Oryctolagus cuniculus: one gene and its partner. The protein of the gene in region 1 purifies or fractionates together with the protein of each later gene. This does not show direct contact. Links are inferred from orthologs where the notes say so. Each region holds a gene or a part of one and is shown in the gene's direction. Other genes may lie near its edges.

Region 1 (4,003 bases):
CAAAAGGATTTAAAACAGGGATCCTCCCTGGAGTTTCTGGTGATATTTGCATCTTTAATTCTTTGACTTCTCCCATAGCCTGCAGCGAAAACTAAAAAACAAAATCAGAAACATCCGTATCAAAACTATACAGTTTCACAGACAGCGACTATGACAAAATGTACTGAACAATCACATTTCATGGAAAGGATTAACTCCAAACCTAACTCTCTTGGGGCTATCTTATAGCTTACCCTCTCTCCTCCCCACCCCACCCCAAAAAAAGCATTACTTAAACATTTCCTAGAGTGCTCCTCCAATAACCCGGGAAGCCAGACTGCCACCATTCTGCAGCAGAATTAAGCTTAGAGAAGTTAAGAGGCTTCTAAGTAGCAGTCAATCAAATAGGAATGAATTCAGGCCTGCCTTCGAGGCGACTAAACGTTCCAGCAGGGAAAAATATCTTCCCTTCTGCCTACAGCTTCTCATCCATTCCTTCAAGATTCGCCACAGGCCGATACTCCAGCCACTCTGGGCCGAACTCCAGTGCTTTGTGGGCCAGCGAGCAGATGAGGAAGCCAGCGCGCGGGCGCCTTCTTCGCACAGGAGACCTTGGCCAGCCAAGTCCGACTGACGGGGGCCTCTCCGCAAACCTCCCGCTCCCGTCGCCAAGACCCTCCCGAGAGAGACAGCGAGGCCGCACGGCTTCCAGTTCAAAGGGCTCCATCTCCAGAAAAGCCAGCATCCCGCCTCTGCAAGGGCGAAGTGCAGCCGGCTTCCTCGGGTGAGCAGCGGGGAGGACGTGTCACGGCCCCGGGCCCACGCGATCGCTCTGTCTGCGCAACCCCTCTGGGCAAGACCCCACTCCCTCGCTGCTCCCGTCCCCACCCCGGGGCGAGCGGGCAGGCAGGCCTGAAGCCGAGAAAAGCAAGCCCTCCAGTCAAGAAAGGAGGGAAGCAGAGGAAAGAACTTACCCACTGGCGCGTGGGAAAAGGAATCCCTCCACAACATCAACTCCAGGATGCTCCCAAGAGGGGACCAGGCCAGCTCCCACGACAGCCGCAGACTCTTTAACTCCCCGCTTCCGCGCTGTCTTAGGCCAACCAGCGCACGGGGCCTGACGACGACTGGCCAATGGCGTCGCACCGCCGTCCGCGAACCAGCCAATCACATCCAAGCCGCGAGGTAAATTCGAATGGCAACGCCTCGCTCCCCACATTCCGCGCAGAGGAACGAGGCTCCAAATTCAAATCCACGCAGCCGCACGCTGGCGGCGAGCGCGAGGGGCGGAGCCTGCCCGGCGTGAGCGGGCGACGCGCGGTGTGATTGCCCGGGAGAAAAGCAAGGCGCTCCAGTTCCGGGTCGGGCCCGCAGCTGCCTCCCTCGGTCTCTGCCATGGCGAGCAGTAGCGGCTCCGGGGCGGCGGGGGCGGCCGCGGCGGCGAATCTGAACGCAGTGAGGGAGACCATGGACGGTGAGTGTCCCTTGTGGCCTCTTTATCTGGCCGAGGCCCCCAGGCGGAGGACAGCCCGGGGAGGACTTGAGGTCGCCTTCCCGCCCCGACGGGCATCTTGGAAGATCCCGGAAAGCGATTCGCCGGGGCCGCAAGGCTGCTGCTGGTCCTGTCCCTGCAGAGTTGTCTCTCCGCTCCTGGGTCGTTGGTCGCGCGCGGCGTCCCGGCCCCGCACGCCAGTCCGTTGCTCGCGCGCCGCGCCCACTCCGCTTCCCGCGCGCGTCCAGTGTCGGCGGAACGCTTCGGATGGAAGTCTGTGCGGACGTGGGCCGCGTGTGCGTGGCCACCGCCGTGGCCCCTGCCCCTGGCACAGCAGGGACAGGCGCTGTTTAGATATCTGTTATTAGAGTCGCCCCTGTTGCGTGTTGGAGCGGGTGACGCGTGTCCGGATGCGGTGGGCGTCGTCGCGGGCACCCCGAGGCACGTGGCGGCCAAGCCTCCACGTGGGTGGTAGACCAAGTCACCCTGTACCCTCCAATGTCGGCCCTTCGGAGTGAGTTTGGACAAACTGCTGCGACATCTTTAAGCGTGTTCTCACCACTCCGCCTCCCTCCCTCCCCGGGGCATGCAGGAAGCAGGGTTACTGTGATTATTTAAAGACAAAGCAGATAAAGGCATAGCGAGGATCGATTTGGGGGGAGGGGGATTAGATGTCAACCCGGTTGCAGCCTCCTTGCGTGAGAGGATTTGAGTGCTGTTAAATAGTCCTAGGTCCTGTTTGCAGTCTGCCACGGTATTTTCCATCTCTGTTAAAAAGAGACCGCTGTGGAATCCTCACTAGGGAGTGTCAGGCTTCCTACAATGTTTTGTTCACCGGAAGTCCCACTTGCTATCTATCAGTCCCTGCATGTAAGAGTTTCTGATGAAGGCTTCTGACTTTTTGCACTGGCTGCTGCTTTCCTCTTCAAAGACTCACCTAACACTAGTGGAGACTTTGCATTCATTTCTTACTCATCCAGTATCTACTTTGCTGGTTTTCTGAGAATTTTCTTTTATGACACGGCATCCAGCCTATTTTTCCATCCTCATTGATGTGTCATGGCATACCAATTTTATAAATGAATTTAGATTTATGTACATGAGGATTTCTGTATAAGTAATATTATCCTGTATGTTTCCTTGGAAGTCAGTGTTTCTTTTTTTTTTAAAGATTTATTTATTTATTTGAAAGTCAGAGTTAGAGAGAGAGAGAGAGGTCTTCCATGCGATAGTTCACTCCCCAACGCCAATCCGAAGCCAGGAGCCAGGAGCTTCTTCCAGGTCTCCCACGGAGGTGCAGAGGCCCAAGGACTTGGGCCATCTTGTACTGCTTTCCCAGGCCATAGCAGAGAGCTGGATCGAAAGTGGAGCAGCCGGGACTTGAGCCGGCACCCATATGGGATAACCTGTGCCACAGTGCCTGCAGGAGTATTTCCATTTTTAACAGGATGGAGAGGCTGAGGCCTTGGGTCCAGCCTGTCTTCTCTGTTAGCTGTCCTTGAGTTCCTTATTTATATTGCTGTAGGATCCCAAAGGCTTCAGTGTAGTACTACTTTATACTTAATCAGAGAGTGAATTTAAGGAATGCATCATACAGAGCCGAGGTTAGGAGAGTTCACAGTGTATTCACCTCATTTGACCTGCCCTGCAAGGCCCTGTCAGCAGAGTAAATCCAATCCAGTTATTCATTAAGTCTTTCCAATTTTTCACTCATCTCAGATTTGACCACTTGTCTTAATCTCTCCTATCACTAGTCTTTCACCAACATTATAATAACTGGACTTACTTGCCTCAGGTGCTCTGCCATTTTCCAAATCCCGTTACATATTCAGGCAGTTTTTTTTAAATGCTGATCTGATCTTCGTATATTCCCCATTTTATTATTTTCCAGTGACTTCCCTCAATTTTTTTTTTTTTAAGATTTATCTATTTATTTGAAAGTCAGAGTTATACAGAGAGAGGAGAGGCAGAGGCAGAGAGAGAAGTCTTCCATCTGCTGGTTCATTCCCCAGTTGGGCGCAGCGGCCAGAGCTGCGCTGATCTGAAGCCAGGAGCCAGAAGCTTCTTCCGGGTCTCACATACAGGTGCAGGGGCCCGAGGACTTGGGCCATCGCGTACTGCTTTCCCAGGCCACAGTAGAGAACTGGATCAAAAGTAGAGCAGCCAGAACTCGAACTGGTGCCAATATGGGATGCTGGCACGGCAGGCAGCGGTTTTACCTGCTATGCCACAGCGCTGCCCTCCACCCCACCCAATTTCTTTTTTAAAAATAGTTAAAACATTTATTTTTTTATTTGAAAGTCAGAGAGAGAGAGATGGCAGGGCTGGACCAGGCCAGGCCAAAGCCCATAAGCTGGGAATTCCATCTGGGTCTCTGGGTCTCCTGTATGGGAGGCAGAGACCCAAGTACTTGAGCCATCATCTGCTTTCCCTGGCACGTGAACGGGGAGCAGTGGAGAACTCCAGTACGAGAAGCCTTCTTTGCAAAATGCAGCTTAACCTGTGTCAAAACACCAGCCCTGCTAAGATCTT
Region 2 (4,246 bases), on another chromosome or scaffold:
TCTGCGAGAGACAGCTCTGACACCTTTAACTTGGGGCTCTTGCAGACTGGGAGAGGATTCGCTTCGAAGCTGAACACTGCCTTCCCCGCCAACGAACGTGGAATTATTTGCTCTCCAGCTCACACGCTTTAACTCGAAAATCGAGAATTCCACTGGAAAGCTAGCTTTAAAAACACACACTTTGTTTCAGGCTTGTCCCAAATGGTTTTCATTCAGTTGTCCATGCCAGTTCCCCTGGAGTTGGATCCGTAATACCTCCTTAGTTATTATTAAGTTCAAATTATGCTCGGTACAGCCTATGAACACACAAGTCCCCTGCAGGTGACCAGAGAGGAGTTGTTCGGAGAGCAGGACGCAGCGGTGCCAGTGTCGGCTCTGGTAACGCGCACACACCATCAGCTACCCTCCACCTGCTCGCTTACAAATGCTGGCTGAGGACGCCTCCCTCCCGCGTCCCCCCCACAATCACCAGCTCATCGGTGTCTCTGTTTTGTTTAAAGCTCTGGAGGTTCACACCGAGACGCGGGTTTCACCAACTTCCAGAAGTGGGCGAGCAAACCTCGAACATGCTAATTCACGCGAAGCGCTCCAGCCTGTTTGCTCCCCACACCTCCATCCGGCGCCCGTGCAAGACCTGCCTCCACTCCCGACAGGAACGACTGTGTCCGGGGCCGGTCTGCGCGGCGCCCCTGAGCAGACGGGGAAGGGGAGGCGATGGTCTCAGAGGACCACAGCGCTCCCGAGCTAGGAAGGCGCCCTCGCACAGAGCGAGCGGCTCGAGAGCGTCCCCGCAGCTGCTGCCGGGTGTGCGGGCCGAGGGCGCGGGTGCGGGTCAAGCAGGGGAGACAGCTGGAAGGGCCCCCGGGGGGAACCGGGGCGCCCAAGCCTGGAGGCGGGATGCAGTGGAAGGGGGCGAGGTAGAGAGGCAAGTGCAGAAGGGGCCAGTGCAGCGAGGACAACAGGGCAGGCAAGAGGCAGCGCCCTACGGAAACCTGACGGATTCGCGCCTCGGGGAGTTCCCGAGGGTCCAGTTCTCTCACCAGAAAGCCGCGTTCAGCCCCAGGCACCACAGGGCGCTCCTGGCCGGCCGCTCCCACACCAGGGCTGCCTGCACTCGGCTCAGGAGAGGCTCGTAGGGCCCCAGCACCTCCACCAGGGCCCGTTGCACCGCCTCCACCTGCTGGTCCCGCTCCCAGGAGCCTGACATAGCGCGGCGGCCCCGGAGAGCCGGCCCAGAAGATGGGCCCGGGGCCGCGGCCACCCCCTCTGGCTCCGCCATCTCCCCCCCGGCAGCCACAGCATCCGGGGCCGCGGCCCGACAGTCACAATAACACCGACTGCGCAGACGCGCGCCTTGGCGGCGGAGGCAGGCCTCCGGACCCGCGCGCTTGCGCACAGGCGCCAGCCCGCGCCCGCCGGGAGGCGGGGAGGACGCAGCGTCAGAGCGCGCCGAGCCCGGGCCGGAGCGGCGCACGCGCAGTCTGCTCGGCTGAAGCCAAACGAATAAGGAAGTTCTCATTGGAGCGCAGAAAGTTCGCGGGTGGAGCGGGTGTGCAGCGCCTGCGTCCTGCGGCGAGCGGGCGGACTAGCGGCGGCGTTGCTGGCGGGAGCGGCTGCAACGCCGGTGCCTGAGGAGCGATGCCGAGGGAGATCATCACCTTACAGTTGGGCCAGTGCGGCAATCAGAGTGAGCGACCCTCCGGCCCGTCCGCTCGCCGGGTTGCTGAGGTTCCGTGGGATCCGCCGCCCTTCCCAGAATCGTAATTCTGCGAAAGGCGGGACGTCCCTGACCCAGGGTCCGGTTGCCCTACCCCGAGGGGCCCTCCTTGCCCGGTCGCGAACGTGCAGCCCTTTTCCCCACACACGGGCGAGTCCTCACGCTGACCCCTGTTCCCAGGCGCTCGGTCCCCCAGCTGGCAATCGGAACCTGCCCAGACCCACATATCCTGTTTCTTCCCCCAGTTGGGTTCGAGTTCTGGAAACAGCTGTGCGCCGAGCATGGTATCAGCCCCGAGGGCATCGTGGAGGAGTTCGCCACCGAGGGCACGGACCGCAAGGACGTCTTTTTCTACCAGGTGCCCCCGGCGGCTGGGCCAGGACCCCGGGGGCCTGAAGGGACGGGGCAGGGGCTGGTGCTGGGGAGCCCGCTGGGCACAGGGCCCCGCGGCTGGCTCGGGGAGGGAGGCCCGGCAGGAGCCCGAGTGGGACTGGACTGGGGCCTGGGCCGGCGGTGGCGCCGGCTGACGGGGCCGCCCCTTCCCGGCCTCTCGCTGGCAGGCCGATGATGAGCACTACATCCCGCGGGCCGTGCTGCTGGACCTGGAGCCCCGGGTGATCCACTCCATCCTCAACTCTCCCTACGCCAAGCTCTACAACCCGGAGAACATCTACCTGGCTGAGCACGGAGGAGGAGCTGGCAACAACTGGGCCAGTGGATTCTCCCAGGTCATTTGCTATTCCCTGGCACCACCTACAGCTCCCTACGTGGGGAGAAGCCCTGTGACTTCCCAGAGAGATGGAGAAAGACCAGGGATGTGTGAGCGCTGGAGGGAGAGAGACACAGGCTATGGGGTTAAACGTGTGACACAGGTATCATGAGGAGCAGCCGTAGTCCTACCTGCCAGGCTCTTCCAAGCGCTTTCCATGTGCTTGGTTATGTAAAGCTCCCAGCACCTCCAGAGATGGGCACTACAGGCCCACAGCATGTGATCTGCCTTTCCGGAATCCAGAAAACTCAGAAAGTGCAGGTTTATAACTCACTTAGCAGCAAAAAACATACCTCAGTGGAAACAGGCTATTTTATAGGGTTTTTAAAAAATGTATTTGGGCCGGCGCCACAGCTCAATAGGCTAATCCTTCCCCTGCGGTGCCGGCACCCCATCCGGGTCCCAGTCGGGGCACCGGATTCTGTCCCGGTTGCCCGTCTTCCAGGCCAGCTCTCTGCTGTGGCCCGAGAAGGCAGTGGAGGATGGCCCAGGTCCTTGGGCCCTGCACCCGCATGGGAGACCAGGAGAGGCACCTGGCTCCTGGCTTCGGATCAGTGCGGTGCACCAGCTGCAGCGTGCCAGCCACAGCGGCCATTGGAGGGTGAACCAACGGTAAAGGAAGACCTTTCTCTCTCTCTCCCTCTCTCTCTCACTGTCCACTCTGCCTGTCAAAAAAAAAAAAAAATGTATTTGAAAAGCAGAGTATCATTGAGAGATGGGTAGAGAGAGATCTTCCATCCACTGATTCATTCCCCAAATTGCCCCAACAGCCATAGCTGGGCCAGACGGAAGCTAGGAGCCAGTAGTGGGAGGGAGATACCAAGATCTTTCCTGTGGTTCACTCCCCAGATGGTCACAAACAGCCAGGGCTGGTCCAGGCTGAAGCTAAGAGCCAGGAACTCCACCCTGGTCTCCCGCGTGGTGTCAAGGGCCCAACTGCTTGGGCCCTCATCTGCTTTCCCAGGCACATTAGGAGGAAGCTGGATGGGAAGCAGAGCAGCTGAGACTGCGGGATGCTGGGTCGCAGGCAGAGGCTTGGCCCACAGCACCACAACGCTGGCCCCAGTTCCAAAGACTGTAGATAAGGGCCTGTGGGCCTGTGTTACTCCTTCCATTGTATAGGTCCAGAAAAGGGCAGAGTAACCTGCCCGGAGTCACTTAGCTGCATGGGACAAGAGGTAACGTGTGAACCCAGGTAATCAGAGTGGAGGACTTGTGACCTCCGTGCTGTGTAGCCTCTCGAGGCAGGTAAAAAGGCAGCTGCGCTCCCGAAACAGACTCGGTGGTACCGGAGGGGAACTGAGGATGGCTGCTGTGTGAGCGGTGTTGTCCCTCAGTCCTGTGCACGCTGACCCTCCCCGTGTCTGCACAGGGAGAGAAGATCCACGAGGACATCTTTGACATCATAGACCGGGAGGCGGATGGCAGTGACAGTCTGGAGGTGAGTGTCGCAGGAGAGCCGGTGGGAAGGCTCGGTAGCACCCTGACGAGCCCCTGTTGGGCACAAGACCCACGTGTGTGCCCTCTGCACTGGACAGAAGCCACGGGCCTTCCCGAAGACAAGGCAGAGTCCCCCAAGCTGTAAGGGCACTGGAAGGAAAGGGAGGGCTTGAGAAGATAGGAATCCAAGAAATGATGGGATGGATCAAGTTTGAAATCCTGGACTCCGCCCCTTCTTCACGCAGGGCTTCGTGCTGTGTCACTCCATCGCTGGGGGGACAGGCTCTGGCCTGGGCTCCTACCTCTTGGAACGGCTGAAT

What was found. The genes of interacting proteins can lie anywhere in the genome.
Region 2: the proteins of MZT1 (region 1) and tubulin gamma-1 chain purify together in Homo sapiens (affinity purification with mass spectrometry; 4 studies listed by BioGRID and IntAct, counting the BioPlex papers as one, with this or other methods). This does not show direct contact. The link is inferred for Oryctolagus cuniculus from reciprocal best matches to the Homo sapiens genes MZT1 and TUBG1.

Annotation. Positions count from the first base shown.
Region 1 is NC_091440.1:40,016,261-40,020,263, forward strand, and holds the start of MZT1 (mitotic-spindle organizing protein 1), read left to right. Parts: upstream 1-1,203; 5' UTR 1,204-1,374; coding exon 1,375-1,453; intron 1,454-4,003. Other genes in the region: BORA (protein aurora borealis), read right to left, coding at 1-91, 958-990. UniProt on the Homo sapiens protein: Required for the recruitment and the assembly of the gamma-tubulin ring complex (gTuRC) at the centrosome.
Region 2 is NC_091448.1:20,272,718-20,276,963, reverse strand, and holds the start of tubulin gamma-1 chain, read left to right. Parts: upstream 1-1,446; 5' UTR 1,447-1,638; coding exon 1,639-1,687; intron 1,688-1,962; coding exon 1,963-2,075; intron 2,076-2,277; coding exon 2,278-2,445; intron 2,446-3,858; coding exon 3,859-3,927; intron 3,928-4,171; coding exon 4,172-4,246. Other genes in the region: RETREG3 (reticulophagy regulator 3), read right to left, coding at 1,041-1,279. UniProt on the Homo sapiens protein: Tubulin is the major constituent of microtubules, protein filaments consisting of alpha- and beta-tubulin heterodimers. Gamma-tubulin is a key component of the gamma-tubulin ring complex (gTuRC) which mediates microtubule nucleation.